Callithrix jacchus: one gene and its partner. The protein of the gene in region 2 interacts with the protein of the main gene of each other region in a biochemical or structural test. Links are inferred from orthologs where the notes say so. Each region holds a gene or a part of one and is shown on either strand. Other genes may lie near its edges.

What was found.
Region 1: the proteins of COPS7A (region 2) and COPS6 form a complex in vitro, tested with the Homo sapiens proteins (3 studies listed by BioGRID, with this or other methods). The link is inferred for Callithrix jacchus from reciprocal best matches to the Homo sapiens genes COPS7A and COPS6.

What each region holds. Positions count from the first base shown.
Region 1 is NC_133503.1:13,493,135-13,497,243, forward strand, and holds the start of COPS6 (COP9 signalosome complex subunit 6), read right to left. Parts: upstream 2,840-4,109; 5' UTR 2,827-2,839; coding exon 2,760-2,826; intron 2,538-2,759; coding exon 2,412-2,537; intron 2,219-2,411; coding exon 2,087-2,218; intron 1,440-2,086; coding exon 1,351-1,439; intron 1,251-1,350; coding exon 1,188-1,250; intron 937-1,187; coding exon 889-936; intron 801-888; coding exon 686-800; intron 601-685; coding exon 508-600; intron 408-507; coding exon 307-407; intron 177-306; coding exon 36-176; 3' UTR 1-35. UniProt on the Homo sapiens protein: Component of the COP9 signalosome complex (CSN), a complex involved in various cellular and developmental processes.
Region 2 is NC_133510.1:20,922,495-20,925,346, reverse strand, and holds the end of COPS7A (COP9 signalosome complex subunit 7a), read right to left. Parts: intron 2,008-2,852; coding exon 1,902-2,007; intron 1,742-1,901; coding exon 1,590-1,741; coding exon of another isoform or gene 1,586-1,589; exon of another isoform or gene 1,573-1,585; intron 1,428-1,572; coding exon 1,388-1,427; 3' UTR 542-1,387; downstream 1-541.

The DNA of each region.
Region 1 (4,109 bases), on a different chromosome or scaffold from region 2:
CTGACCCCTGTCCATCATCCCTTCAAGTACCCGCATCAGAAAAAGAGCCCGCGCATTCGCCTGCCAATGCCTTGTCGGTCGTAGAGGACGTTGAACTTGTTCACAAACTGGTTCATGGTGTTGCACGTTTTAGTGATGGTGCCGAGGTAGGCCATGAGCCCCACATCATTGCATTGCTGGGAGGGAACATAAAGGACCAGTTCTTCAGGGGATCTCTTGTGGCATGCCCAGGGAACAACAGTCCCCAGTCCTGCATGTGAAAGTGACAGCATAAGCCCCACCTCCCCATCTGGGTTTTACACTCACATCATAAAAGTCTGTCTTGAACTTGTCTGTGCTGAGCACTGGGAGGCAATGACACAGAGCATAGGCCTCCCGCAGGATCTCATGATTAAAGGGGACCTCTCCTAAAGGCACAAAAAGAGGCTGCATTAATTTGGATGCTGTCACTTCCCCAGAAGGGAGAGGAAGAACCCCAGGGAAGTGTCAGGGAAGCCCTTGACCTACCTGCTTCAGAGGCCTTGACGTACTCCAAGATGAGCTTGACGCGGCTGTGCAGCATCTTGATGGCACTGTGCTGTGCTATCAGGTGTTCAGCCACTGCAAGGGGATGGAGACAGGAGGAGGTTGGGACAGGATGTGGCCACACATTCCACCCCCACTTCCAAGGAATCCCCTCCGTTACCGGTGGAGTTCTCTCCACTGCCTGTTGCTGTCATTCGGGCCACGTGGTCTACACCAATGCGTTCCGCTTCCTCTGTGGCCAGAGTGTAGGTCAGCTCAGCAAACAGCATTGTGGCCTACAGGGCAAGGTAACCCACAAAGGGAGAATCAAAAGCAGGAAAGAGGACAAGAGCAGGATGTGAGGGTTGAAGGGTAGGGTTTTACCTCTCCGTTGATTATATCAATGACAGACTCAAAAACGCTGACAGGAAGCTGTGGAGGAGATGGAGAAACCTGAATACTATCTGCCAACATTGGGGCTAGTCGATTTCACACATTTCCTCTCAGCTAATTTTCCCTAGAAACCAATGAAGTAGGGATTACCTCATTTCACACAGTTTGGAGATTAAATGACTAAGCCAGAGTCACAGCAGATAAGTGGCATTTGGCATTCCCCAATACACCGTCACACAACAAAAGGTACAGCAACAATTATGACACAGTAGGCATGGGATATTACTTACATCTGTGTGCTTGGTCATAGGGTTCAACTTCAGAAAGAGGGGGCTCTCAATGATCTCACACACCTGAATGAGAGGGACGATGCACAGGAAGTCAGTGCCCCCCTTTCTCCTTCCCCTCATCCCCCATTCTCTGCTTCAGCATGCACAGGTGTGAGATGTATACCTGCTTGTGGACGTGGATGTCCGAGGGGTCAGGTGGCCCCCCTGTGGTATACCAACCCAGAAATTCCAGCTCCTTGAACACCTGTTTAACTGAAGGGGAAGGGACCAAAACACATAGTAATTATTATTATTATTTTGAGACAGAGTTGTTCTGTTGCCCAGGCTGGAGTGCAGTGGCGCAATCTTGGCTCACCACGACCTCCGCTTCCCAGGTTCAAGCGATTCTCCTGCCTCGGCCTCCTGAGTAGCTGGGACTACAGATGCACATCACCACATGCGGCTAATTTTTGTATTTTTAGTAGAGATGGGGTTTCACTATGTTGGCCAGGCTAGTCTTAAACTTCTGACCTCATAATCTGCCTGTCTCGGTCTCCCAAAGTGCTAGGATTACAGGCGTGAGCCACCGTCCATGCCCAGCCTGACATAGTAATACTTTAAGCCATCTTTCCTCTGTGTGAAGCTCCTGGTGTATTTTCACCAGCTTCTCTCCCCGCTCCTCAAATCCTGGCTCAGTTTAGAGTAATTACTCCCTTCTATCCTGTCTTTTATCCTTTACTTTCTTTTTGGGAAAGAACTCTTAATGTGTTCTTTTTCTGAGATCTCTCCAGCAATTCTCTTAACCTTTTCTTCTCTGTTCTTGGCCTCCTCTCCTGTTTATTTCCAACCTTCTCCATCTTCCCCACCCTGTACTTTTTTTTTTAACTCCCACTCCTCTTCCCCACGTCTATTCCGCTCACACTGCTCTTCCTTGGTGTAATAATATTCCTTGTCAATGATAATCTTCTCTTCCACCGTGTGGGACAGCAGCTCAAAGGAGTTCATCACCTCGATATTTCGGCCCTCCTGCTTCCCAATCAGAGCCCCAATCACTAGGAAAGAGAATGACATGGAAAAGGTGAGGGTAAGGAAACTTCTATCACCTAAGGGTCTGAGGTCAGTGGGAGCCAAGTACTGGGGAAACGATGACTTGAGGGAGGGGGAACTGGCTCCAGTAAAAAAAGGGAAAGACGACTGGGGGAGGTAAGCAAGGAGAGGAGACTGGAGGCTATGCCCAACACTCACCCTGCACAGGCCGCCCCTCCTGGGAGCGCATGCGGATCCAGTGGTCTGAGATGTTGAGAATGACAAGGGGATGGAGAGCGACGGATACACTCCCAGTCACTCCGGAGGCCATCACGCTGGGGACTACTAAGGGTGGAGGGAAAGTAGAGAGGGTGAGAGTCCGGGCCCCACGTCCTTCCCTGGAGACGGCAGTGGGGGACGACGGAGCCCGGCCACACTTCCCTCCCGCAACTTATCCCAGGGAAAGATGTTGCTGTTCCGCCCTCCTCCCTTCTTCTGGGAGCACAGGGAGGCCTCAACGCACCCCTGAAGGAGGTCTCTGGAAGCCACCCCCACACAGCCCGTTACCTGCTGCATCCACCTCCATCCCGCTGCTCCCTCCGGTCCCGTTCGCAGCTGCAGCTGCCGCCGCCATTTTCCTCGCGCCCGCCGGCCTCGGCCCCGCCCCCTTCCTTCCCGGCTTCCGTAAGGTGAGAGGCGCATGTTCAGTGTCCCCGCGGCGCGCGGCGGGCCAGGAGTCCCAGGAGTAGGTAGTTCACTGGCTTGGTTGACGGTTTTCTGGCTAAGGGATCCCGACGCCCTCGCGGGTTTTCGCAGACCTTGTCCCCTCCTGACGCCTGCGGGTAACGTTTGACAAATTACTTAACGGCTTGATAGTCCTCATCTGTAAAATTGAGATAAGAATGCCTAGTTCTTTTTTTTTTTTTTTTTTTGAGACGGAGTCTCACTCTGTTGCCCAGGCTGGAATGCAGTGGCGCGATCTCAGCTCACTGCAACCTCCGCCTGCCGGGTTCAAGCAGTTCTCCTGTCTTAGCCTCGCTAGTAGCTGGGACTACAGGCGCACACCACCACGTCTGGCTAATCTTTGGTATTTTTAGTAGAGACTGGGTTTCACCGTGTTAGCCAGGATGGCCTCTCTCTCGTGACCTCGTGATCCCCGCCTCGGCCTCCCAAAGTGCTGAGATTACAGGCGTGAGCCACCGGGCTTAGCCAAAAACGCTTAGTTCTTAAGGCTGTTGCAGAATGAATGAAATGTCGTGTTACTGCCCTCACAGTAAAATCCAAACAACCGACCACACTCTGCAAGGCCCTGCCTGAACTGCCCTGGCCTGACCTCTACTTTTCTAGCCCTTGATATTCACGCTTCAGCGGCACTGGCCCTCATGTCTGGTTTTGTTGTTTGTTTGAGACAGGATCTCACTCCATCTTCCAGGCCGGAGTGCAATGGTCTCATCTCAGCTCATTGCAGCCTCAGACTCCTGGGCTCAAGTGATCCTCCCACCTCAGCCTCCCAAGTAGTTCGGACTACAGGTGCGCCCCACCACACCCAGCTGATTTTATTATTATTTATTTATTTATTTTGAGACGGAGTTTCACTGTTACCCAGACTGAAGTGCAATGGCACAGTCTCGGCCCACCACAACCTCCGCCTCCTGGGTTCAGGCAATTCTCCTGCCTCAGCCTCCTGAGGTACTCCTGAGTACCTGGGATTACAGGCACGCGCCACCATGCCCAGCTAATTTTTAAAGTATTTTTAGTAGAGACGGGGTTTCACCATGTTGACCAGGATGGTCTCGATCTCTTGACCTCCTGATCCACCCACCTCGGCCTCCCAAAGTGCTGGGATTACAAGCTTGAGCCACTGCGCCCGGCCGTGTTTTTAGTAGAGATGTTTCACCTTGTTGACCAGCATGGTCT
Region 2 (2,852 bases):
GCCTGTCAGGTATTTATGCCCAGAAAGTATCCATTACTACTGTTTTTTTTTTTTTTTTTGAGATGGAGTCTCACTCTGTCACTCAGGCTGGAGTGCATGATCTCAGCTCACTGCAACCTCCACCTCCAGGTTCAAGTGATTCTCCTGCCTCAGCCTCCCTAGTAGCTGGGATTACAGGTATGCACTACTATGCCCAGCAAATTTTTTTGTATTTTTAGTAGAGACGGGGTTTCACCATGTTGGCCAAGCTGATCTCAAACTCCTGACCTCAAGTGATCTACCCGTCTTGGCCTCCAAAAGTGTTGGGATTACAGGCGTGAGCCACTGTGCCTGGCCATAGTCATTACTTCTGACTATGGATGCTGAGATATGAAGCAACGTGTCCGAAGTCATACAGCCCAGGATCTAGGCCTCAGGCAGAGACGCAGCAAATAGTATCCAGTTCTCTTCATCTTCCAGCACTGTGCTTTAGAGTAAACTGGGAATGAGTCTTCTTCCCATCCGCAAATATCAAAGACAGAAGATACCCAGTTCAGGGTAGTTTGTAGATAGACTTTTCATAGATTTATTTCTGTGTCATGTTATATATAGATATATGCATATATACCTTTTTTTTTTTTAAATACAATCTATATACCCTTCCCTTCCCCACCAAACTCACAAAAGGAGATTAAACCCTTCCAGGACTGCCATCAAGCTTCCCGAGATGGCCAGGGCCAAGAAGGAACCATCTCTCAACATGTTAAGAAATAGCTGCCATTCTTAGGCTCTGGGTTCTGAAGCCGCAGCATTCCCAGGACCCAAAGGGCAGAGAGAGAAAAATAAATGACTGTAGCGTGACAGGATTTTCGGATGAACGTGTCCAGTGACTCTGGGAATGCCACACTGGGCCCCAGAATTCTCAGAATGCGAGTAAAGGTGGGGGCCCTATGGCTCTTCAGAGGCTGCTCAATGCAGGGGTGGTGGGTAAGGTGTAGGAATTTGCGATCAGGCATGCAGGGATGGGGTGGGAGAAAAAAAACGCCTGTGGGTTATGCTTGAGACAGAGCAAACCCCATCAAGGTTACCCACCTACTCGATGACATGTCATGAACAGGGACAGATGTTGAGCTCTTAAGGAAATGTCGGAGAAATAGGGGAGAGAGCATGGCAGCAGGAAGCAACGGAACACAGGAGGTCACAAAAACAAAAAGTACCAACAAAAACATGACCTGCACTTGCCTCCTCCCTAGAAGAAGGTGTGATCTATGTTTGGGGTTGGGGAGGTGATGGGTCATGAACCTAGGATTATCAGCTGGCCAGGGGCACAGGAAGGCTCTCTGAGGACTCCTAAGAGGCAGACAGGCAGCTGGGACCCCACATCCCCAGGGAGGAAACGACAGTCCCTTCAATTCGACTTGGACCAAATCTTGGCGCTCCCTCGGAGCCTGGCAAGAAGAGAAAGAGAGAGAGAATGCAGGGAATCCCCTCTGAAGGCTCCCCCGACTCCCTACTCCCATGCAAATAACTGAAGGAAGTGAAGACAGTCAGGTCCCTGGGGTAAAAGCAGGGCACTCCAGAAGTGAGCAGTACCTGCTACCCTGGCTCACCCCTTGCCCTTTGAGGCTTTCTTGCTGGGCTGGCGCTGGTTGGTGCCAGGAGCTGGTTCCCTCAGCTCAGTCAGATGTTGCTCAGGGTCCTGAGATGTGGCTGCGGCTGCTGCTGCTGTTGTAACTTTAATGGTTTTTTTAAGGTTGGCAACCTACCAGGATGAAAGGAATGGGGATAGCAAGGAAGGTTCCAGAAACTTCCAGACCCTGCTTATTTTGTTGTCTGCTACAACCACTGTCCAAATCCTCTCTGCAAAGGAGAAGTGGCCCAGGCTGGAGGAGCCTGGGTCCACCTGCTCCCTGACTGCTCACCTCACTCTCAATCTGCTGCTTCAGGCCCAGCTGCTGCTCCTTGTGCTGGTTGGCACGGCTCACCTGCTCCTCAATGCCTGACAGCACAACCTCACAGCCCACACACCTGCGGGAGTCAGGGGAGAAGAAAAGTTTCAGCAGACAAGATCTACGATCATAGACTCACAGAAAACAGATTCAAAAAGAACCCTAGATGCAGGGCGCAGTGGCTCACCCCCGTAATCCCAGCATTTTGGAAGGCCGAGACGGGCAGACTGCTTAAACTCAGGAGTTCAAGACCAGCCTGAGCAATATGGCAAAACTCCATCTCTACAAAAAAAATACAAAAACTAGCCAGATGCAGTGGCACAAGCCTGTAGTCCCAAGCTACTCAAGAGGCTGAGGTGGAAGGATGGCTTGAGTCCAGGAGGTGGAGGCTGCAGTGAGTCAAGATCATGCTGCTGCACTCCAACCTGGGCAACGGAGCCAGAACACAGCTTCTGGCATTTTGAGTCTGAGTTGGGAACCCTCACCAGGGCACCTAGAAACCATCTGTGACAATGATCCTAGCAGTGAGATGGACCCTCAGTATGGTCAGAGAGGGATAAGGAAGTGCCTGGAGTGATGTGCAAGATGGTGGTAGGAACTGAAAACAAATAGGGTAGGAGATGTTAAAGAGAAAAAGAGGTGACTTAATGAATACAGAAACCCTGAAGTTAGATAGACACAAAATAAAAGAGAGGAGGAAAAGGCCCATGGCCTGTGGACAATGGTAATTGTAGACCAACTGCTGGAATCTAGCCTAAGGCAACAACCTTAGTGGTTAGGATCCCCTCAAGTGTACCACTCACTCCCTTTCCATCCCTGAATTACTATATCAAGGACACTGACTTCTGCCGCCTCCCAGGACCTCCCTACTCCTGCATTCCCCAGAAGCCTTTGAACTCATTTTCCTTCATCCCCCTCAGTTCT